Caenorhabditis elegans: one gene and its partners. The protein of the gene in region 2 purifies or fractionates together with the protein of the main gene of each other region. This does not show direct contact. Each region holds a gene or a part of one and is shown on either strand. Other genes may lie near its edges. The genes, in order: aco-1, pcca-1, T02G5.7 and semo-1.

Region 1 (5,737 bases), 3.7 Mb from region 2:
TCACAACAAGCGTCGAATCCTACGTTTTTCTGATGTACACTGATGACTAGGTTGTTGTGAATACATTAATAGGATCTCAGCGTAGAACTATGACACTGTCTAATGCAACATCATCGAAACACACGAAAATACTTTTAAAAAAACAAGCCGAGTTTTTTTTTTGGTAGTTTTCAGAATTTTTAACAGTGTTATTCATTTACCAAGTGTACTCCCTATTAGTTATACAGTGTGTAATTTTCTTGCATTTCTAAGAGTCATCCTAATATTAGAACTTCAATCAGTATTTCAATAATTCGGGACAAGACAAGGCGTACCTTGTAGAATTTTCAGATAATTCTTCAATTCCTGAAAAAATAAACCTAGACTTGTTCAAAACGTTTACACATGTTAGCACTTGTCTTGCTTTTTACAACTTAAAAGGCTACTAGAGGTAATACGGGGAATGATTGTGAGACCAATTTTAATAAAATACGTTTCTATGAATCTCAACTTGGGATCAAATAAAAATATATATGCAAAGTCTTTCTGAATAAAACATGGTTATACAATGATACGCGGTAAACTATGAAAAACGGTAATTGTAATATTATGAACCAGCCGTGGTCCGCACCTTCGGCGCGGCCCCCGACTTCTAGGGCTGAAAATCAATTTTTATGAAACTACCGTAACCCTACAGTATTCCTACCGTACCACTATTGTACCACTACAGTACCCCGACTATATCCCTACACTAACCCCAACTCACTATCCCTCCAGAAGTCAAAACTTCACAGACTACAAAGACTACATAGACTACAAACTATGGACACACAGAATAAGCGCTTTATATTATATATAGTAAATTATCATGAAGAACAGAGACATATGAAACAAAAATATCAATCAAAAAACCAACCAGCTTGTGCTCAAACATCTTCTGTTTTTTTAACTTAGTAAATTTTAGTCACGCTAACAGAAATTCCGTACTCTATGAATTTTGTGAACTACAGATTCTAGTGATTCTAGATTCTAGTGTATTAGTTTAGTTATAGCATGGATTCGATTGCATTTTTTCAAATGTTTTTTTTTTTGAAAAATAAAACGAATTTTTGCTCTTCAGTTTCCCAAAGGAATTTCCACCTCACCATCAATCTGTGCAAAGTTCTCCCACTTGATAATCTTTTTTAAATGATCTGATATCAATGATAACAAAAGATAAAAAATATCGGACACAAATCTCTGAATTTTCTTTTTATCTCTCAATATGTCTGAGAGCGCATTGTTTCAATTCTCAAAAAAACCACACTGCAACATTGTCGTAACCTCTTGGGTCAAGTACGCAACGTGTATGCAGATCGGCCCTCTTCTTCTCTTCCCACCGCACACTATTTCACTGTGCACATTTACCTTTTTTGACTGTTTCTTGAGTTCTGAGATGGTATCGTTTTTTCTCGCCGCCTTTTTTCTCGACATTAGCCTTCTAGAAACACTGGACAACGACGCAATTTCGTCCTAGCTGATATGAAAGATGACTATCTTCGACCGACCTTGGCACACACACACACATACACAACATACACAAAACGCTCTCACATTCAATACAGCCACACACACTAAGCGCGCTCAGACACACACAAAAACGGACAGGTCGACTACACCGATTCGGCACGCCTCCATTAGTTTTCCTCGCATTCTCTTTTTCATTACAATGCACTTTTGTCGTTCTTTTCTATCGAAATCCTTTTTTTTTTAAATTTTTTCCATATCTAACTTTCCAGATATGGCTTTCAACAACCTTATCCGCAACTTGGCTATCGGAGATAACGTCTACAAATACTTTGACTTGAATGGTCTCAATGATGCTCGTTACAGTAAGTATAACTATTTTACATCCTATTCTCAATCTATCTAAAATATATCTGCATATATTCAATTTTGGAACTTTTGTAAACGAAAAAAAAAACAGCGAATTTCGACGAGCAAGAATAAATTCATTATGTTAAAGTCATATATAAATCATTTTCTTTAAAAACCTTCCCAAAATTTTCAGACGAGCTTCCAATCTCCATCAAGTACTTGTTGGAAGCCGCAGTTCGTCATTGCGATGAGTTCCATGTATTGAAGAAGGACGTGGAAACCATTCTTGATTGGAAAAACAGCCAGCGTAACCAAGCTGAGATTCCTTTCAAACCAGCACGCGTTATTCTCCAAGATTTTACGTGAGCTTGAAAATAAATTACCAAATTTATGTACATCAAGCAATTTTCAGTGGAGTTCCAGCCGTCGTAGATCTTGCCGCTATGCGTGACGCCGTTCAAAATATGGGTGCTGACCCGGCCAAGATCAACCCAGTATGCCCAGTTGACCTTGTCATCGATCACTCCGTGCAAGTCGATCACTACGGAAAGTACGTTCTGCGCAACCTGGTTTATACATTTATTGTATTTTTTTCAGCCTTGAAGCCCTTGCCAAGAATCAGTCCATTGAGTTTGAGCGAAACAGAGAACGCTTCAACTTTTTGAAGGTAAGGAAAGGTGAAAATGCCACTTTCAGAGTTTCACTGTCACGTTTTACTCTCCCCATCACTTTTCGGAAAATCACGCTATGCATTTGATTGCCCTTATCACTACTTTGTTCAATGAACACACAAATATTCAGATAGCTTAAATGAAATTGTATTATCAAATTATTTTCAGTGGGGATCCAAAGCTTTCGACAATCTTCTTATTGTACCGCCAGGATCTGGAATCGTCCATCAGGTTAATCTTGAATATCTTGCCAGAACAGTGTTTGTTGGAAAGGATGGCGTTCTCTACCCTGACTCCGTCGTTGGAACCGACTCCCACACCACAATGATTGATGGAAGTGGTGTTCTTGGATGGGGTGTTGGAGGAATTGAAGCTGAAGCTGTGATGCTCGGACAGCCAATTTCCATGGTTATTCCAGAAGTTATTGGATACGAATTGGTTGGAACTCTCAGTGATACCGTTACCAGTACCGACTTGGTTCTTACAATCACAAAGAACCTTCGTGATCTCGGAGTTGTTGGAAAGTTTGTTGAGTTCTTTGGAACTGGAGTTGCATCGCTCTCCATCGCCGATCGTGCAACAATTGCTAACATGTGCCCCGAATATGGAGCAACAATTGGATTCTTCCCAGTCGATAGCCGTACCATTGACTACCTCACTCAAACCGGACGTGATACCGATTATACTCAACGCGTGGAACAATACCTCAAGTCTGTTGGCATGTTCGTCAATTTCACCGATGACTCCTACCGCCCAACATACACTACCACTTTGAAATTGGACCTTGGAAGTGTAGTGCCAAGTGTCTCCGGACCTAAGCGTCCACATGACAGAGTTGAGCTTGCTTCTCTGGCTCAAGATTTCTCCAAAGGGCTCACTGATAAGATCTCCTTCAAAGCTTTTGGCCTTAAACCAGAAGATGCCACTAAATCTGTCACAATTACCAACCACGGAAGAACCGCAGAGCTTACTCACGGGTAAGACTATAAATTAGAAGTACATGCAAAAAATAATGTTTCTTCCAGATCCGTAGTTATTGCTGCCATCACATCCTGCACAAACACCAGTAACCCAAGTGTCATGCTCGCAGCTGGATTGGTTGCCAAGAAGGCTGTTGAGTTGGGATTGAATGTCCAACCATATGTGAAAACATCCCTCTCTCCAGGATCAGGAGTCGTCACAAAATACCTGGAAGCATCTGGTCTTCTTCCATACCTTGAGAAGATTGGATTTAATATTGCTGGATATGGTTGCATGACATGCATCGGAAACTCTGGGCCACTTGATGAGCCAGTAACAAAGGCCATCGAAGAGGTATTGTTGAAACTACTGTTTTCTTTTCAAAATAATTGTTTATTCAGAATAACCTTGTCGTTGCCGGAGTTCTCTCTGGAAATAGAAACTTTGAAGGAAGAATTCACCCACATGTTCGTGCTAACTATTTGGCATCTCCACCTTTGGCTGTTCTTTACTCGATCATCGGAAACGTCAATGTTGACATTAACGGAGTTCTTGCTGTTACTCCTGACGGAAAGGAAATCCGACTAGCCGACATTTGGCCAACCAGAAAAGAAGTTGCCAAGTTTGAGGAGGAATTCGTGAAGCCACAATTCTTCCGCGAGGTGTACGCTAACATTGAGCTTGGATCCACGGAGTGGCAACAATTGGAGTGCCCGGCTGTCAAGCTTTACCCATGGGACGATGCCTCTACTTACATCAAGAAGGTTCCATTCTTTGATGGAATGACTAGCGAGCTTCCATCACAATCCGATATTGTAAACGCACACGTTTTGTTGAATCTCGGTGACTCGGTAACCACTGATCATATTTCTCCAGCTGGATCAATCTCGAAGACCTCTCCCGCCGCCAGATTCCTTGCTGGACGTGGAGTAACGCCAAGAGATTTCAACACTTATGGAGCTCGCCGTGGTAACGATGAGGTAAGAGTTTATTCATTCAATATATGATTTTCTAAAAACTTTGAATTTAACAACACATCACGTTTTTTTTTAAATTTCAGATCATGGCTCGTGGAACATTCGCCAACATTCGTCTTGTTAATAAGCTTGCGTCGAAGGTTGGTCCTATTACACTCCATGTGCCATCTGGAGAAGAGCTCGACATCTTTGACGCTGCTCAAAAGTACAAGGATGCCGGAATTCCAGCCATCATTCTTGCTGGAAAAGAATATGGATGTGGCTCATCTCGCGATTGGGCTGCAAAGGGGCCATTCCTCCAAGGAGTCAAGGCTGTTATCGCTGAAAGCTTCGAAAGAATTCATCGTTCCAACCTGATTGGAATGGGCATTATTCCATTCCAATATCAAGCTGGTCAAAACGCTGATAGTCTCGGACTTACTGGAAAAGAACAATTCTCAATTGGAGTTCCAGACGATTTGAAGCCAGGACAGCTCATTGATGTGAATGTATCCAATGGTTCAGTTTTCCAAGTCATCTGTAGATTTGACACTGAAGTCGAACTCACCTATTACCGCAACGGAGGAATCCTCCAATACATGATCAGAAAGTTGATCCAATAAACTGTTATTTTAGCTTAAATTTTTGAAAGTCAATTTTTTCTATTTTTAGATAACTATTTACTTTTCGATGCATCAATCCTTCTCTATTTTCTGTGATATTTTATGAACATGTTTGAAGTCCAATAAATTTGTGATTTGGAGCAACGAAATAAATCAATACTTTTTATAATTGGGCTATAAAACATGTGGATGGTCAAATTTATTTTAGTTTTGGCGTCTCTGTTTTGCTAAAACCACTTAAATTCGTAATATTTTACTAAAACTCAACAAATAACGTATTTCTACTATTTATAGGAGAAAGAAATGTGCTTCCAGTTTGACAGTGTTTAGGATATAACATTTTGCAACTTTTTCTTAAAGGTCGTCATCACTAATTGTATTTTTTGTTCTCTCAGTCATAAGAGTATAAATAAATAAGAAAACATCTTCATTGAGAACAACAAAATTGGGTGTAAAAGCTCAAACATTCTAGTTGTTTGAACAAAATGAACAGAGAGATTACGGTATTTATTTGTACTGAACTGACTTTTTATAGACTAACATTTCAGCAGTTCATTCGTACTATTCAGTCCCATTTAAAAGTGCACACTCACCCAATAAAATCTCAGTTGCCCTATAGCTAACATCACTAAAGTAATATGAGACCCTTGCCAGCGCAAAAGATATTTTTATTTCAAAATAAGTAAATTTT
Region 2 (5,907 bases):
ATGCCCTGTTTTCGCGTCTTATTATTATTTTTTTGAGAACTGTACAACTTTTCGTATTCGCAAAAAGAGCTGCCCGAATTGTTTTTCTGTCTGCGTCTAGTTTGTCTTTACACGCTCTATTATTGAGGTCACCATTGGTGTCCTTATTGATTCAGATAGTATCTCCTCTATTACACGAAGACACCCCTTCTTCTATCGTTTGAGAGAATCAAAAAAAAAAGAAACCAACTATTCATCTCCACTTACTTTTTGATTCTCGTACACTATGTAGAATATAGCCAACTAATGATAACATGATAAAATCTAATTTTTTATTTCAGTTTCTGCTCTCTTCAAGTGTGCCGGTCGCTTCGTAATTATTTGGGTGTTAAGTATTCCGCTTCAGATCCATCATTTTGCAAACTGACACTTATTGAAATGTCGGACTATTACAAAACTCCACAACTCTTCTGGTGGCTCCTCATTGTTCCAGCTCTGGCTATCAACTACGTAAGTTTTAAGGTTTCAAGTGAAAAAAAACTATGTTTGATAAAAATAGATATTTCAAAGCTTCCACTTCGATCTATATCTTTGATTTTTAGATTTCTTACGCCCATCCAGCAGCAGCACTTAATATTCCATTAATTGGATCTCTCGTCCATAAGATTGGAACTGAGTATCCATTTGTTGCTCTTTTAACCAACCTTTTCGCCCTTGTAGCACACGCCGGTGAAGCTCTTTACGCTCTTTATCTCTGCCATAAAGCCAATATCAGGTGAACTTTTTCAGTTGATTTTATAACAAATTGTATTTTCAGTTTTGCTTCTACCGCAAAATGGGTTGTCCAAACGTTTATTCTTGGTTTCCCGTCACTCTCTATTCTCAGTCGATACGAAGCCAAGCAGAGGAAGAATAATTGACTAGTAGTTGAAAATGTGTCTGATAGTTCCTAAAATGTATTAATTTTGTTTTTTTTTGCCAATGCAATGAACGACCATTTATTATCAAATAAAATGAAGAAACTCAACGAAACATTCTCAAATAAACAACATGTCGAGAGAAAGGCCAGTGTGTGCAAAGACGCAGAGAAGATCACTGCAAACGCGCTCCGTTGAGGTTGCTGTGTGAGATATCTTGGACAACCCCGCGCATTATTGGACTGTTTTTTGTTGTTTTATTGATCATGTAGTGGTCAATGAGCAGGTCATTCTTGCCTTCGCTGTTGCCAGAGAAGGTCGGCTTTTTTCTTCCCTGTTTTTGGTGATTTTGCCGTTTTTTTTTGTGTATTGAGTGTACTTACTGTGTGAGTCTTTAGATTTTCCGTTTCACGCATACACGTTTTTTGTAAAATTATTAGTTTTTGTAGGACTCTCGGTTCAAAAATTATAGAAAACGTGCAGACTGGACTATGAATTATATTCGAAGTTCTTCATTGTAACATTGTGAGGTCGTCTTTCCAACTCTCAACCTATCCCGGTGATTTTCTCGGTTTCTCTGCGTGTGTGTGTTCAGAGGACGAATACGTGCAAAATCGCAAGAAATGGGCAAAGAGAGAGAGCGGGGCAACTGCGCTTTGGGTCCATCAGAAAAGAGAGATAGACAACTTTTGTGAAAATCTTGTTGCGGGACAAGGGCACCGCACTTCTTGCTTTTCTCTTTTCTGGCCAGGCTATTTACTTCGTTGCTCAGTTGCCATTTCTGCATGTTTTTCTTATTTTTTCTACTAGTCGAAGTTTTCCTTCATAATCAATATAAAGAGAGTTTTCAAGGCATCGCTGTTTATCACTTAACTGACCAAATCAAATCGGTCGTCCTTATCTTTCTCCATCGAAGTTATACACGAAACTGTTTTTCTCCATCATCTTACTTTTTTCTTTTGTGAACTGCTGATGTCGTTGTTCATTTTATCATGAAAATCATTGTTTTTAGGTTGAACCATGCTCCGTGCTGCATCCAGTATCCGCGCTGTGGCCAATCGTGGATTGGCAACTGCTGCTGTTGCCAGACCAGGAGTGTAAGTTTCTGAAAGTTGTATTCGGTTTTGAGATCAATAGGTTCAATTTCAGACCACTTGATGAACGTGAGGGAAAGGAGATTTACACTACTGTAGGAATCGATTACAATGAGCCAAAGTTCGACAAGATTTTGATTGCCAATAGAGGTAATCTCAAGCATCTAAAAGAATCTTAGATTTAATCGTCTATTTTACAGGAGAGATTGCGTGTCGCGTGATCAAAACTGCCAGAGCTATGGGAATCAAGACAGTGGCCGTTCACTCAGATGTCGACAGCAACTCGCTTCACGTAAAGATGGCCGATGAGGCTGTATGTGTTGGAGAAGCTCCAACTGCCAAATCCTACCTACGTGCTGACCGCATCTTGCAAGCTGTCGAGGACACCGGTGCTCAAGCGGTAAGAATTCTAACGTGTCTATGTAATGGAAGGATAAACCGCAAAAATCAAATATCAGAGGAGAATGTAAATTCTGTGGCATGAATCTACATGCACAGTAGCACAAACATATTACCCAGACATCCGACAGAGAATAGAGTTTTTGCAAAAGTTCAGAACACCGCTCCAAATCAACTACTACTGTTCAAGAAGTCAGAGCGTTCGCGCTTAACTTCAAACGGAGAGAATAGCTTAAAAAAGTTGCTGACTGAAAAAATGTGAAATAAAACATTCCCTACATTTTGATAATGCTCAATTTTTTCATGCTCATATCACCTGGCTGAGATATGAGGGTTTGAAGTGATGAAGCTCTAGAGTTCCCTCTTATGGCCTGTTGAAAACTGTGGTGAGGTCAAATTATGAAAAGCACGAATTACCGCATTTTTCAGAGGACAAGCTAGGGTCAAACAGTTTGACAACCCGAGCGAGAGCTTTTGGCTGTGTAGCAGCTTAAGATTTACCGTAATATATTAGAAACCAGTTACTTGTAATATGCACGTGATATTCACCTACTTTCACTACGAAACACAACAAAACAAAAATTCTGTGACAAGTGACCAAGTGGTCTCTTTCCAGTCTCTAGCATCTCGCGTGTTTCATTTTCAAATAGTCAAAGTCAAATGACGAGAGATAGATTGCAAGTGTCTTCTGTTATGTTTTTCAAACAGAACTGCTAAAAACGTTGAAAACATATATTTGCAGGTTCATCCAGGATATGGATTCCTTTCCGAGAACACCAAGTTTGCCGCCGAGCTTGAGAAGGCTGGAGCCAAGTTCATCGGACCAAACTCTAAGGCTATTCTTGATATGGGAGACAAGATTCATTCAAAGAAAATCGCTACCGCAGCCCGTGTCAGCATGATTCCAGGATATGACGGAGAAATTGCTGATGAGGATATGTGCGTGAAAGTCTCCCGCGACATTGGATACCCAGTCATGATCAAGGCTTCTGCCGGTGGTGGTGGAAAAGGAATGCGAGTTGCCTGGAACGACAAGCAAGCTCGTGAAGGATACCGTTTGTCCAAGCAAGAAGCAGCTTCTTCTTTCGGAGATGATCGAATGCTCGTTGAGAAGTTCATTGACAACCCACGGCACATTGAGATGCAGGTGCTCTGCGACAAGCATGGAAACGCTTTGTGGCTCAACGAGCGTGAATGCTCCATTCAGAGAAGAAACCAGAAGGTTATCGAAGAGGCTCCAAGCAGCTTTGTGCCACCAGAGATGAGACGCAAAATGGGAGAACAGGCCGTTCAGCTCGCCAAGGCTGTCGGTTATGACTCTGCTGGAACCGTCGAATTCCTCGTTGATTCTCAGAGAAACTTCTACTTCTTGGAGATGAACACTCGTCTTCAGGTAATATCTCAGTATGGCCTAAATGTTTAATTTTTAAATACTCACAGGTCGAGCATCCAATTACCGAGTGCATCACTGGAATCGATATTGTCCAACAGATGCTTCGCGTTTCCTACGGTCACCCACTTCCAATCACCCAAGAGCAAGTGCCACTCAACGGATGGGCTTTCGAGTCTCGTGTCTACGCCGAGGATCCATACAAGGGATTCGGTCTTCCATCAGTCGGACGTCTCTCCAGATATGTTGAGCCAAAACACGTCGACGGAGTTCGTTGCGACTCTGGAATCCGTGAGGGATCGGAAATCTCTATCTACTACGATCCACTTATCTGCAAGGTAAAGGATAAATTAGCATTTAGATAATTTCAAGTGACTTACTTTGTAATTTCAGCTCGTTACGCACGGAGACAACCGTGAACAGGCTCTGAACCGCATGCAAGAGGCTCTCGACAACTACGTCATTCGTGGAGTCACTCACAACATTCCACTTCTTCGTGATATTGTCCAAGAGAAGAGATTCCGTACTGGAGACATTACCACCAAATATCTTCCAGAAGTGTACCCAGAAGGCTTCCAGGGAACCAGCCTCTCACCAAAAGAGCAAGACGTTGTCATTGCCTTTGCCTCGGCTCTCAACGCTCGTAAACTTGCTCGTGCCAATCAATTCTTGAACCAGAACAAACAACGTAGCACTCATGTGGCTTCCTTCTCGAAGACCTACAAGTTCGTGTCTTCTCTGCCAGTGAAGGAGGGTGAGAGGCCAACCGAGCACGCTGTTGAAGTCGAATTTGTCGAAGGAAGCGCCAACAAGGCCCAAGTTCGTATTGGTGGAAAGACTGTGACTATCAGTGGAGATCTCAACTTGTCTCATCCAGTCAACTCAATTGAAGTCGATGGAGAGCACATCACCACCCAAATTGTTGGCAAGCGCGCCGGAGAGATCACCGTTCTTTACAAGGGAACTCCATTCAAGGTCAAGGTGCTTCCAGAGCAGGCCGTCAAGTACTTGCAGTACATGAAGGAGAAGGCCAAGGTTGACTTGTCCACAGTTGTGCTCTCACCAATGCCAGGAGCAATCAAGAACGTCAACGTTAAGGTAACATTATTTTATCACTACCATTAGATGTGCTAAAACTGATTCAATTTACAGCCAGGAGATATGGTTTCCGAGGGACAAGAGTTAGTTGTCATGGAGGCTATGAAGATGCAGAACAGTCTTCATGCTGGAAAGACCGGACGCGTCAAGGCCGTCAATGTGAAGGTTGGAGCCACAGTCGACGAGGGAGAGGTGCTCGTTGAGCTCGAGTAGATTATTCTCACTGAACCTGAATTTTTTTTGTTGTTTTAATTACCGTTTTTTTCCTAATTTTGTACAATTCAAAGCCGCCACTATCTGGTATGGAGATTGATAATTTCATTCGCAGTTTCTCAAATTTCAAGCCATATTTATATTTTATTTTTGATGCCATTACCCTCACCTGTTGTATTCCAATCATCACGGACGTATTTCTCAGCCACCACCCTGTTTTGTTGCCCCAAGTATTATGTAGTGAATAAATATTGTAGAAGGCATTGCAAAAAGGTTGTTATATGAAGAAAAAAAAGCATTTGCTCATTTTTTGAACTTTTCAATTAGAAAATTATATATCTATTCTGTTTCTACATAACATAAGTGCAGATGTTTTGTTGATTAAATTTTCTATTTTTTGTGAAATAGCTTGTGTAAACTAAACATTTTACCATAGTCCATAATTGAAGCTCGGAAATAAGCGTTGTGAAAAAACTTGTCAGTTTGCAAATCTGTTTTAAAAATTTCAGATTTCTCTTTTTTATGTTCTTCTTTCATGTATCTCAATTTCAAAATATTGAATAGCAGTGCCAATTGATTATTCTGAAAGAAAATTGACAAAAAGACGAGTTGAGACGAGAAGATGAAACAGAAAATGATGGGAAGAAGAAAAAGAAGAATTTTTCTTCCAGTTTTTTTTGCCGTTTTCTGTTCTTTTCAATCTCATTTTAACTCACGTTTTTTGGTTTCGTGTGAGTAGTGTCACACTGATATTGTTAAATTCTGTTAACTTCTAGTTGAGAAAATAAATAATGTCAATATTTTAATAAAACTTACT
Region 3 (3,731 bases), on a different chromosome or scaffold from region 2:
CTCGGTTGCCATCAAAGCAGCATTGGAGCGTGGAGCAGTGAAGCCGAGTTCAATTCAGGAGGCGAGTGTGTTCTTTGTTTGCATTTTTCTATACTAGTAATATCTGAAATTCTATATCACTTCCAAAAACTACCGATTTAATCTTAAAATGCCTCAATTTCAGGTGTTCCTTGGTCAAGTCTGTCAAGCAAATGCTGGTCAAGCTCCCGCTCGTCAAGCAGCTCTTGGAGCCGGACTCGATCTTTCGGTTGCTGTTACCACCGTCAATAAAGTGTGCTCTTCTGGGCTGAAAGCAATCATTCTTGCTGCCCAGCAAATTCAAACCGGTCATCAAGATTTTGCCATTGGCGGAGGAATGGAGAGCATGTCACAAGTACCATTTTATGTTCAAAGAGGAGAGATCCCATATGGTGGATTTCAAGTGATTGTGAGTTTAATTTATTTTTCTAAAAAATATTAAATTGTCTAAAAATAGTCTTTAAACTTCTTTAAAAGAAATCAATGCTCACATTTTCTTATTCAGGATGGAATCGTCAAAGACGGACTGACCGATGCTTATGATAAAGTTCACATGGGAAACTGCGGAGAGAAGACTTCAAAAGAAATGGGAATTACACGTAAAGACCAAGACGAATATGCTATCAACAGCTACAAAAAGTCAGCTAAAGCATGGGAGGTTTGTCAACTGATTGCTCTTTGTGCGTTTTATGATTCCATGTTGTTTAGAATGGAAATATCGGACCAGAAGTGGTGCCAGTGAACGTCAAATCAAAGAAGGGAGTCACGATTGTTGATAAAGATGAAGAGTTCACAAAAGTCAATTTCGACAAGTTCACCTCGCTGAGAACTGTTTTCCAGAAAGGTTTGTACTATTCTTATCGTGAAAATTGAAATCAACATAATATATTAAGACGGAACTATCACTGCTGCTAATGCTTCAACATTGAACGACGGTGCAGCTGCTGTCATTGTTGCCTCACAGGAAGCAGTTTCCGAGCAAAGCTTAAAGCCTCTGGCCCGAATTTTGGCTTATGGAGATGCCGCCACGCACCCACTCGATTTCGCTGTAGCACCAACTTTGATGTTCCCAAAAATTCTTGAAAGAGCAGGAGTGAAGCAATCAGATGTTGCTCAATGGGAAGTTAATGAAGCCTTCTCATGTGTTCCCCTTGCTTTCATCAAAAAACTAGGAGTCGATCCATCCCTTGTGAACCCACATGGAGGAGCTGTTTCAATTGGTCACCCCATCGGGTATGTTGCCATATCAGTTGACCGTTCTTTCCGCATTCTTATCGTAAATTTGTTATCGATTATTTTTCTTTCAGAATGTCCGGAGCCCGCCTCATCACTCATCTTGTGCACACACTCAAAAGTGGCCAAATCGGAGTTGCTGCCATTTGCAATGGAGGTGGTGGCTCAAGTGGAATGGTTATCCAGAAATTATAGATTTATAATTTAACTTTTTTCGTTTAAAGTTTGTTACCTTTTTTCACGATTAGCTTGTATTTATGTATTTTTCGCTCATATCGAAACTCCGGTAAATAGATTCATTTATTATTTTGATTATCTACTTCTCTTTCATTGGTTTCAAACCAATTTCAGTTATCTTTTTTTATTCGTATGCGATTTTTCTAATAATCCAAAGTTCAGACAGTCTATCGCAATGTCGGATAAAAAAGTTTTCATTCTGAGTGGAGCTCGCACTCCCATCGGAGCTTACCGAGGATCTTTCGCTAACTTTGGCGCAGTTGAGCTCGGAACGGTCGCTGCAAAGGCAGCAATTGAACGATCAGGTTAAATTACTGATAATGAAATTTTGAAACAAATATTAAATATTTTTAGGAGTTGCTCCGGAGAAAATCGAAGAAGTAATTGGTGGATGCGTACTTCCGGCCGGTCTAGGACAAAATGTGACCCGACAGATCTCTTTGTCGGCTGGTCTTCCAGTAACAACGCAAGCTGTTACGGTGAACAAGGTTTGCTCTTCTTCGATGAAAGCCTTGGTGACAGCAGCTGTGGAAATCAAAGCAGGATATTATGACACTATTCTTGTTGTTGGAACTGAAAATATGAGTCAAGTTCCATTTTACGTGCCGAGAGGAGAAATTCCATTTGGAGGAATCCAGATGACAGATGGAATCTCGAAGGATGGACTTGAAGATATTAAAGAGAAAGGTCCAATGGGATTATGTGCTGAGAAGACTGTAAAAGATTATGGAATTACTAGAGAAGAACAAGATGCATATGCTATTGAAAGTTATAAAAAAGCTTCAAATGCATGGAGTTCTGAAAAGTTTTCGGAAGAAGTGGTACCAGTTAGTGTTAAGACTTCGAGATCGGAAGTAGTGATCACTGAAGATGAGGAGTATAAGAAACTGATCGAGTCAAAGGTATGCAGAAAGAAAATGTTTATCAAAAATATTAAACTTATTTAGGTTTCCTCTTTGAAACCAGTCTTCGTTCGTGACGGCACTGGAACCATCACACCGGCCAATGCATCTTCGCTTAATGATGGAGCTGTCGCAACTGTCGTTGTCGGAGAGAATGCTCTTCCACAAGGAGCTCATCCACTTGCTGAACTCGTGGCATTTGCTGAAGCTGGAAGAGCTCCCATTGATTTCACCGTGGCACCAGTGGACGCCGTTCGTCTTCTTCTCAAAAAAAGCGGGCTCCAAGTTTCAGACATTGCATTGTGGGAGCTCAACGAAGCATTTGCCGTCACTGTTCTTGCTTTCATCAAAGAACTTAATATTGAGCCAAGTGTTGTTAATGTAAAAGGAGGTGCAGTAGCGATTGGGCATCCACTTGGGTAAGTTTTTTTGTTGATTCAAACTTCAGTGAGCGTTTTCGGAAAAATTAGAATGTGTACAGAGAAAATTCTGATAGCAAAAAAACATTCTAAAACACAAAAACAAAACATACAAATTTTAAAGTAAACTTTAAGTCCGAACAAACCTATATTAATTTTAATAATTTTCAGAATGTCTGGTCTCCGAATCGTCAACTCCCTTGCATATTCTTTAGCTCCAGGACAGCTCGGTGTAGCTGCAATTTGCAACGGAGGAGGAGAAGCCACAGCAGTGCTCATCAAAAAACTGTAATATGAACCTCTTGCCTAAATGTTTTCTGGTCTTCTATTCATCATTCCTTGATTCACTTTTACAACAAATTTCGATTACGTATTTATAAATAGTTAAGGTTCTTGTCACATAAATGTTTATTCTCAAATGGTGCATACGTGTTATTGATTGGGAAATGAATTAAGGTTAATATGTACATTATCAGGAATGGTTTTGAGCCATCTCAAAAGAGATATACTGGAAAAATCGGAAAAGCATTTTTCTTTTGAGATATATCATTCATTCACGTCTTCAAGGCAAAACATATAAGGGGAGATCGTATACAAATAATCACAGGGAAGAATTGGTGGATGATAAAATGATCCCATAAACCATTATTAGTTTGAGAGATCAAGTTGGGGGAATGAGAATATTAAGGGGGGAAGAATTTAACCGGGAAGCAAACATAGAGCGATTTAATTTTTCCGGGATTTGCTTTGCTAGGCGGTTCCAGGTGGCGAGGTTGGCTCTGAGGAATCCTTTGTTTGTTTCGCCAACAGATCTGAGCATGTAGGGGTATCTTGGAGTTACAGCTTTCTTCACCGACGATGACACATTTGGGTAGTGGAAGTTTCCAGTTATGATGTTGTGGTAGGTGCGAAGGATCTGCAA
Region 4 (7,974 bases), on a different chromosome or scaffold from region 2:
GTTGCGCTTCAGTTTTATGTATTTTTAAATTTTCATTTCTGTCTAATTCACAGACTTTTGCTTGCTTCACTGTTTTGTATACTTTTTTTTGAAACACCGTACTTCACCGTGCCAAAATTTTTGCAAAAAATGTTTTAAAAAATTGTAACCAAATTTGTCTTGATTAGAAATTTTGACTTAGAAATTTTGAAAATTGATTGTTTTTAAAAAATCGGAAAAATTGAAAAAAACCCCAATATTAAATTTTATGTGAAAAAAACATATTAAAAGCGCTCAACTTGCATTTCAAATCGAGACTAACTTGAAATGTGAATAAATTTACCGATTGTAGAAAAACTTCAAAACTGCAAATTTAAGCAAAATTGCACCAGTTAACAGTTAAGCTATTAACGGCTTACGTTTGCTTAAAGTTTGCAAAAAAATGTTTAACTATTTCACTAAAACTTCATTAGGCGTTTCAATAAATTTTATATAATACAATGAGAAGCAATGTGAAAATCCAATAAAATTCAAATGAAAGATTGATAACATGCCTCATTTTACTATTGGTATGAGTTTTCTATTAGTATTGTAACAGTATTAACATGTAGCAATATTAACTGTAATTTCCCCATATATTTGTGGAGATTTTTATGCTTAAGGTGGATTTGAATGACTGTTCTCATGAGGAAATATGAACAACTTAATATTCAAATTTGTTTATATTTCCAATAATAAAAAAAAAATAAAAATAAAAAAAATTTCGCATGCTGAAAGACGCCGAAAGTTTTTTTTTCATCGTCGACCAATTTTTTTTAGCGAGTGACATTTGCCGTTTGCCGTTTGCAGCACCTAAAATAAATAAAAAATAAATAAAATTGTTGTTTAAACCTTTTTATTAGTGGAAAACGTAATAAGAAATTTGCAAATTTAATTAACCCAAGCTGAGTTTTTCTAAAAATTTGCTATATTCGCGATACATTTTTTTACTGTTTCAAGGAATCCTCATGGAGATTTTCAATAATTTACAGTTGATCCCATCTTCATCAATAATTTTGTCCTTCAAATTTTGGAATTTGTCGCGCGCACAACCCTGAATAATTGTTTATTATTTTTCTGTTAAGCCTAGTATCAGAAGATAAATTAAAAACGAAAAAACTCACTATTTTCAATTTCAAATAAATTCACGTTTTGTAGTCAGATCGGTTTTCCAAAATTAAAAAAAAATGTTATCAAAATATCTGTGCACTTTGAATCAGTCACACAATGTTCACAAATTCATCTCTAAATTCAAAAATTAATCTCAACCAGAAACGGTACTTGTAGTTTGTATCAGAATAATTTCCTACGTGTTTCTAGTAGATTTCTAGTTGGTTCATTGAACAATCATCTTGATGACTGCTAGAGATAAGACATAGAACAGCTAGTGATACCTTATCAATGTCATCCCCTTCTGTTGTCGATTGTCTTTTTCATTTTTGATTTTTGTGTTCAGTTCGTTATATAAATAGAGAGTAGTGGAAAACTGACAAAGTTCCTGCAAACTAAACCCGTCTGAGCCAAAATTAATTGTTTTCAAAACAGTTTTGTCACCTTTCCAAATAATCCTTTTCAAAAACAAAATTATTTTCAGTTTCACTGTGTGTTTATAAGTTTCACATTTTTCAGTTTTTTTTGGTTTTGCTACATCCGCGTTAGTTTTTTAACTTACAAATTTTCGCTGTATTTTTTTTTTAATTTTTACATTCCCCTTTTTAGAGCTGTGACAAAAAAAGTAATTTTTTCTGAAGCTAAAAATGTTTGCCCAAAAGTTTTCGTGCAACTTGTTTTCAAAGCTACAAAAATAGTGTCAAACTTGAAAAAAATTTAATTTTGCTATAGTTTAATTCAGCAAAAAATTGTATGTATGTAACTTTTTAATCCATACTACTGATTTGATTATATTGTTTGATTTTAAAAAAAAGTCAATATTTGCAGATCAAAAATCCCAAAAACCAAAATGTCCCCAAACTGTGGTTTAAAATGTCATGGTGGTCCAGGATATGCATCTCCAGCTGATGCTATAAAAGGACCACGAGAAGAAGTTTTATTTGTGACTGCTCCAAATGCAGCTGATGGTCCTGATGCCATTTTTACAGTTGATGTGAATCCAGAGAGTGACACTTTTTGTCAGGTAAATTTTATTTGTAAAGTTGATTTTTTTTCTTGTTTGGAGGAAAAAAATACTGTTTCAAAAAGACGTATTGAGTTTTAGGAATAACTAATTTTTTGATTGTCTTTTGTAGATCACGTCCATAAAGCTTGAAATAACTGTTTCTATATCAGAAAAATTGTTCAAATTACCGGAATAAAATTGCAATTTTGCAATTTTCATCTCTGTTGCATCAGCCAAAAATAAATCAGGAAACTTTGATTTGATCTCTCTGATTTCAAGGTTATCTCAAGCTTAAGAGTTTTAAATCGATTTGCACGATATATGATTGTATAGTAAAAATTAAAAATTATTATTTAATTGAAAAAATTATCGGTTTCAAAATATTGATATCCACTCGTAGTTTTAGCATTTAGAGATCGATCAATCATAACATTTTCCAGTAAAATTAATATTTTCAGGTGATCAGCCGAGTTGATGTGCCACATATTGGTGATGAAGTCCATCATACTGGATGGAATGCGTGCTCTTCTTGTCATGACAAACCAACTGAGAAGAGGTTAGTTAAAATATTTATTGTTTTAGGATGATACTATTACTCTATTAGTACAGGTGGCAAAATTAAATCAACTGTTCGAAACATCAAGTTTTGTTTAAAAATTTTTTTAATTAAATTTTCATTTTTGAAGTGTGGTTTTCCGACTTTTTTTTTTTAAAAAGTGGTCACAATAACATGTTTTTTTTTATTCTTCAAACAAAATCATCATATATTTGATAAATCTATAGATTCTCCCTTGTTTGTTTTTCTGATTTTTAGATTTTCTCAAGAAAAAACTGATAAACCTAAATTTTTCCACGACCCTTGATACGGATGCAAAAGCTTTGTAATAAAATCAGATCAGAGCGACATTCACGAGAAGATCATTTTTATAAATTTAGTTAGACTTGAACCAATTTCTTGAAACAGTTTTTTAATTCGAATTTACAAACTTCACATTTCAGTCAACTGAAAGATCAATAAATTTTTAGATCGGAGAACTTTCATTAACAAACCAAAACAGTAGAATAATTTCTAAATAATTTCAGATCCCATTTGATCGTTCCTTGCCTGAACTCTGACCGTATCTACATTATCAACGTAGAAAATGAGCGTAAAATCTATCTTGAACATACAATTGAACCATCAAAACTTCATTCTCTAAACCTTTCATTTCCACATACTTCACATTGTCTTGCCGATGGAAATATTATGATTAGTACTTTGGGAGAAGCTAATGGAACTCCATCTGGTAACTTTTTGTTGTTGGATGGAAAGACATTTGAGCCGAAAGGAACATGGCCAGCTGACGAGAAGACTGTTCCGTTTAACTATGATTTCTGGTACCAGCCAAGGAGAAATGTGATGATTTCTACGGAATGGGGATCACCGAATCATATTAAAAAGGGATTTAATCCAGGTGGGAAAACTGAAAATACTTTTAAAAAATCACTGTTTCAACACCTCTTGTTTCATTTTACCAAAAATTAAAATTATTCCTTGCGGCATGAGCCATCAGCATCACTAAAAACCAAAAAGTTACAAATTTTTTTAAAACATGAAATTTTCCAGCTCACGTCGGAGAGGGTCTCTACGGAAACAGTGTTCATATTTTCGAATGGGACTCTAAGAAATATCTTCAAACAATTGATCTACCACAGCCACTTGGAGCACTTCCACTTGAAGTTCGATTCCTCCATGAGCCAACCAGTGAGCACGCTTTTGTGGGATGTGCTCTTGGATCAGGAATTTTTAGAATTCATCCTGTTGAGGAGGTGAGTAATATTCAATAGAATTTTCAGAAAAATTGAAATGTTTCAATAAGTTATTATTTGTTTAGAAACTGAGATTAATATGTTAAAACCGTAGAATAGAATCAAGATTAAAATTATTGTAAAACTAATTTGCCGAGCTCGGAAAATTTTGAGAACTGCCGCACATCCTTGATTGGGAGGTAGCAAAGTTTCCAAAACTGTTGCTTCTTCCAGAGTACTCAAATTTTATTCCATGAAAACTCTTCAGTAGAGTGTTTGATTTTTCAAAAGTTTCAGTCAATTGAAAATGGTTAAACAGTTTTGGAGATCAATGCCGTGATTTTACGAAAACATTGAAACATTCAAAAAACTTTTCAGTTTCAATTTGTCCTCATAACACACTCTGTTGTTTTTAGTTTAGTTCTGTTGGTATTCCTGTCATCTATTGAAATAGATCCGGTTTTTAGAATTCATCCTGTTGAGGAGGTGAGTAATATTGAAAAGAATTTTTAGAAAACTTTTAGAAAACTGTTTCAATAGGTTATCATATTGTATCTTATTGGAAGTTTATTTCATTTGCTAATCCAAAAAAACGTATGAAATCAAATATAAATGATCTTCGTAGGGGGAGTTGACAATTTATCAATAGTACTGATATTTTCGTTGTCAGTAATTGAATAGCAGTGTTGTAAGCTGATGTGTAACTTTCTGGGATCACCGAAACATTGCATTAGAAACTTTCAAGTTTAAAAATAAATAAATTGTTTCAATACGTTGTTATCAAAACTTCCGTTCTATTCAATTGATTTTTTTTCATTCCCGAAGTTTTCTGAGCAAGTTCTTTGGCAAAATGACTAACTTTCGAGAAAAATGTGGACATTTTGAGAAAATCAGAGCGCTTTCGTACATTTCAAATCCTTTAATGCTTTGGCATACATGATTAGGGCATAATTTGAATTTGAAATTCAGAGAAAGTTGTGTAGACCAAACTGCTATTTTTCTTTTTTTTCATTTGGAAGAACCAATATTAATTCAAAATAGTTTCAGTATTTATAGACTACTTGAAACATATAATAATTTTTAAAAAATATCTTTGAGTGTTTTTAATAATTTATTTTTAAATCAGTTTATAGATTCATTAAACGTTTAACAATGATGCAAATACTAAAAACGTATTTTTCCGAGTTTTTTAAAATTAGGTTAGTGAAACAGTAGATTTTTGATGAACCTTTTTTTAAAAAGCAGCATGCATTTAGTTTTGACAAAAAGTTCAAATCGATTTTTTCTGCGTGACTGTGAATCAAGAAAACTCGGTCAATTAAAGAAAGAAAAAATATTTTTTTTTCGACACTAAAAAATAATTTTAAAGCGCGGACATTATAGTCTCAGTGAAACTTTATTCAAACCAAAACGTTTAATCAGCTAATTGAAACATTAAAAATTTTATGATTTTGTTAGTTTTTCTAGCAATGTCAATGCAATCAAATAATTTTCAAGTAAGATGTTTAATGAGTTATAGACTTTTTTATTAAATTTTTGAAAAAAAAACCGATTTCAGATTTAAGTAAAATTATCTCTGCTTCTGCTGCATTGCTGCGAAACAAAAATTCCTTTCTGTGCAAAGTATAGTCTCACTGGAAATCAAGTTCGAGTGACAATTAGAAATCTCACCGGGTTTTCTAGATCATCTGAAACATATAATTTTAAAAAATTGACACCTTGTTCAACTTGAAACATTTAATCAGCCAATCGAAACATTAAATGTCTCATGATTTTTAAAGCTCTTTTAGAACAGTCGATAAGTCACGCCACAGTTCAATTGAAAACAATTTTCTAGCGAGATGTTAAATGAGTTTGTTGAAACAGTAGATTTTCGTGTAAACTTTTGAAAACAAAAATTACGTTTTAAATAAAATTATATCCACTTCAGCAGTGTGCCCTTGAAACAAAAAAGCTCGATCAAAAAATTTATTTTTTGTGAATGGCCACCAACTTTTCAGGCAAAATTACAAAAAAACATAAAATTTACTGTTTCAAAAAGTTAATATAATTTTGGCAGCGCATATACCTACACTTATTTCGACAGTTCGCGATAACCTCTTTTTGAAAATAAAGTTTTTCAGAAAAGTTGCTTCTTTCCTGTTCTCGAGGTGTTCTTTTAACACACTTTGTATTTTTTTTCTTGTAAAATCTCAAAATTCTGATAGTCAGTATGAAAATAGTTGCCAAATGTTTGTTGAATACTACTGAAAACAAATCTTCAGTGATACGTTGAATGAGAAACATTCAATTTTTCAAATAATTCCAGAACTCAACAACCCATGCAGCTACTCTCGTTGCCTTCATTCCTTCTAAAAAAGTAAGTGGATGGGCTCTTCCAGAAATGCCAGCTCTTATAACTGATATCCTTATCTCAATGGATGATCGTTTCCTGTATGTCTCGTGTTGGCTTCATGGAGATATTCGTCAATATGACATTTCTGATCCATTGAAGGTGAAATTGAATTCTCAAGTTTATATTGGAGGAAGTGTACATACGGAATCAAATGTAAAAGTTCTAGAAGGTGAAAAACCAATTGAAGCACTTTATGTGAAGGGACGGAAAATTGAAGGAGGTCCACAGATGTTACAGTTGTCATTGGATGGAAAGAGACTTTATGTTACAACTTCTTTATACAAGAAATGGGATGATCAATTCTATCCAGAACATGTCAAGTGAGTGCTACTTATGAAAAAATTTAGAATTATTTCTGAGAAAAAAGTTACCGTTTCATAAATGTAGTATATTTTGAGCAAACTATTTCCGCTCACTTGTGGGGCTATTCGCGAAATGTAATTCTTTTTTATTCATTTTATTCATTGAACCTTTGTCCTTACGAAACAAATTATCTCGAATTTTGTAGTTTACACTAAAAATACGCTCATGGTGAAATTATTGTTTAGAAAAAAAATCACCGTTTCAAAAATCTTTCATATTTGCAGCGATTCTCTCTCACTTGCTGAGTTGATTTTATCACGAATTCATGTTTTTCTTTGTTTTTCTAGTCTAAATAATTTTTAAAAAAAAGAACAACTATGAGAAATCGATAAAACAGTTCAATAGCTGCAGCACCGAAAGTTTGAAATTACACTACTCTTTAAAGGCGCACACACGTTTTCCGTTGAAAAAATAGTCACGTCGAGACTTGGTAATGTTTCTTTTCGTCCGCTTAATAATTCATGATAATTTCAAAAAAAAAACACCAAATTCGTCCTACTTTCTCAATGGAGCGCGTTTGCAACCCTGTCATTTTTCAGATCTGGCGCCACAATGGTTCAAGTCAACATTGATCCAGAATCTGGAAAAATGGAAATAAATCGAGACTTTTTGATCGATTTTGGAAAAATTGAAGGAGGTCCCTATTTGGCTCACGAGATGCGTTATCCCGGTGGAGATTGTACATCGGATATTTGGATTTAATTTGGTTTTTTTTAAAATGTTTTGCATAAAAAATTAGCTTGTACATATTCATCACAATTCATTCAGATTTTCAAAAAAAAATTGAAAGGATTTTTCAACTCATGATGCAACTAGAAAAACGGGGGAAACCAGGCGAATAAATATTGAAAAAAGGGGATTTTTGTAATGTGAACGAAGCAATCATCATATATGGTACAAAGAATGTGGCGAGTTGAAATCACGGGAATTTAGTAGAATTGCACAAAAAAATTATGGATTAGAAAGTAGGAAGAAAATATATGAACATCCGGAATTCTCCTCAATAAAAACTGGCTCCTTTTATCGATTGTCTTTTTCATTTTTGATTTTTTGTTCAGTTCATTATATGAATAGACAGTAGTGGAAAACTAACAAAGTTCCTGCAAACTAAACCCGTCTGAGCCAAAATTAATTGTTTTCAAAACAGTTTTGTCACCTTTCCAAATAATCCTTTTCAAAAACAAAATTATTTTCAGTTTCACTGTGTGTTTATAAGTTTTAAAAATGAAAGACATTTGATTCAAATGACCTACAACTTTTCTGAATATCTCAAAAATGAAAACTCAAAAAAGAT

What was found.
Region 1: the proteins of pcca-1 (region 2) and aco-1 fractionate together in Caenorhabditis elegans (co-fractionation; one large-scale study listed by BioGRID). This does not show direct contact.
Region 3: the proteins of pcca-1 (region 2) and T02G5.7 fractionate together in Caenorhabditis elegans (co-fractionation; one large-scale study listed by BioGRID). This does not show direct contact.
Region 4: the proteins of pcca-1 (region 2) and semo-1 fractionate together in Caenorhabditis elegans (co-fractionation; one large-scale study listed by BioGRID). This does not show direct contact.

What each region holds. Positions count from the first base shown.
Region 1 is NC_003284.9:11,338,117-11,343,853, forward strand, and holds aco-1 (Cytoplasmic aconitate hydratase), read left to right. Parts: upstream 1-1,757; 5' UTR 1,758-1,759; coding exon 1,760-1,850; intron 1,851-2,029; coding exon 2,030-2,198; intron 2,199-2,248; coding exon 2,249-2,386; intron 2,387-2,433; coding exon 2,434-2,503; intron 2,504-2,675; coding exon 2,676-3,484; intron 3,485-3,532; coding exon 3,533-3,821; intron 3,822-3,868; coding exon 3,869-4,447; intron 4,448-4,527; coding exon 4,528-5,046; 3' UTR 5,047-5,211; downstream 5,212-5,737. UniProt on the Caenorhabditis elegans protein: Catalyzes the isomerization of citrate to isocitrate via cis-aconitate. Has probably no RNA-binding activity.
Region 2 is NC_003284.9:7,656,988-7,662,894, reverse strand, and holds pcca-1 (Propionyl-CoA carboxylase alpha chain, mitochondrial), read left to right. Parts: upstream 1-1,908; 5' UTR 1,909-1,916; coding exon 1,917-1,993; intron 1,994-2,045; coding exon 2,046-2,140; intron 2,141-2,190; coding exon 2,191-2,390; intron 2,391-3,131; coding exon 3,132-3,782; intron 3,783-3,829; coding exon 3,830-4,117; intron 4,118-4,172; coding exon 4,173-4,877; intron 4,878-4,931; coding exon 4,932-5,090; 3' UTR 5,091-5,383; downstream 5,384-5,907. Other genes in the region: dhs-29 (NADP-retinol dehydrogenase), read left to right, coding at 321-489, 582-754, 797-899. UniProt on the Caenorhabditis elegans protein: This is one of the 2 subunits of the biotin-dependent propionyl-CoA carboxylase (PCC), a mitochondrial enzyme involved in the catabolism of odd chain fatty acids, branched-chain amino acids isoleucine, threonine, methionine, and valine and other metabolites.
Region 3 is NC_003280.10:7,073,964-7,077,694, forward strand, and holds T02G5.7 (Acetyl-CoA C-acetyltransferase), read left to right. Parts: upstream 1-1,650; 5' UTR 1,651-1,663; coding exon 1,664-1,793; intron 1,794-1,842; coding exon 1,843-2,390; intron 2,391-2,435; coding exon 2,436-2,809; intron 2,810-2,980; coding exon 2,981-3,101; 3' UTR 3,102-3,225; downstream 3,226-3,731. Other genes in the region: kat-1 (Acetyl-CoA acetyltransferase homolog, mitochondrial), read left to right, coding at 1-61, 164-427, 524-676, 727-862, 912-1,251, 1,326-1,446.
Region 4 is NC_003282.8:14,049,244-14,057,217, forward strand, and holds semo-1 (Methanethiol oxidase), read left to right. Parts: upstream 1-1,956; 5' UTR 1,957-1,978; coding exon 1,979-2,152; intron 2,153-2,251; exon of another isoform or gene 2,252-2,272; intron 2,273-2,550; exon of another isoform or gene 2,551-2,571; intron 2,572-2,592; coding exon 2,593-2,690; intron 2,691-2,705; exon of another isoform or gene 2,706-2,726; intron 2,727-2,752; exon of another isoform or gene 2,753-2,774; intron 2,775-3,031; exon of another isoform or gene 3,032-3,052; intron 3,053-3,124; exon of another isoform or gene 3,125-3,149; intron 3,150-3,217; coding exon 3,218-3,588; intron 3,589-3,665; exon of another isoform or gene 3,666-3,686; intron 3,687-3,740; coding exon 3,741-3,943; exon of another isoform or gene 3,944-4,408; intron 4,409-4,493; exon of another isoform or gene 4,494-4,518; intron 4,519-4,581; exon of another isoform or gene 4,582-4,602; intron 4,603-4,728; exon of another isoform or gene 4,729-4,749; intron 4,750-4,925; exon of another isoform or gene 4,926-4,947; intron 4,948-5,065; exon of another isoform or gene 5,066-5,086; intron 5,087-5,251; exon of another isoform or gene 5,252-5,272; intron 5,273-5,289; exon of another isoform or gene 5,290-5,310; intron 5,311-5,552; exon of another isoform or gene 5,553-5,573; and 20 more.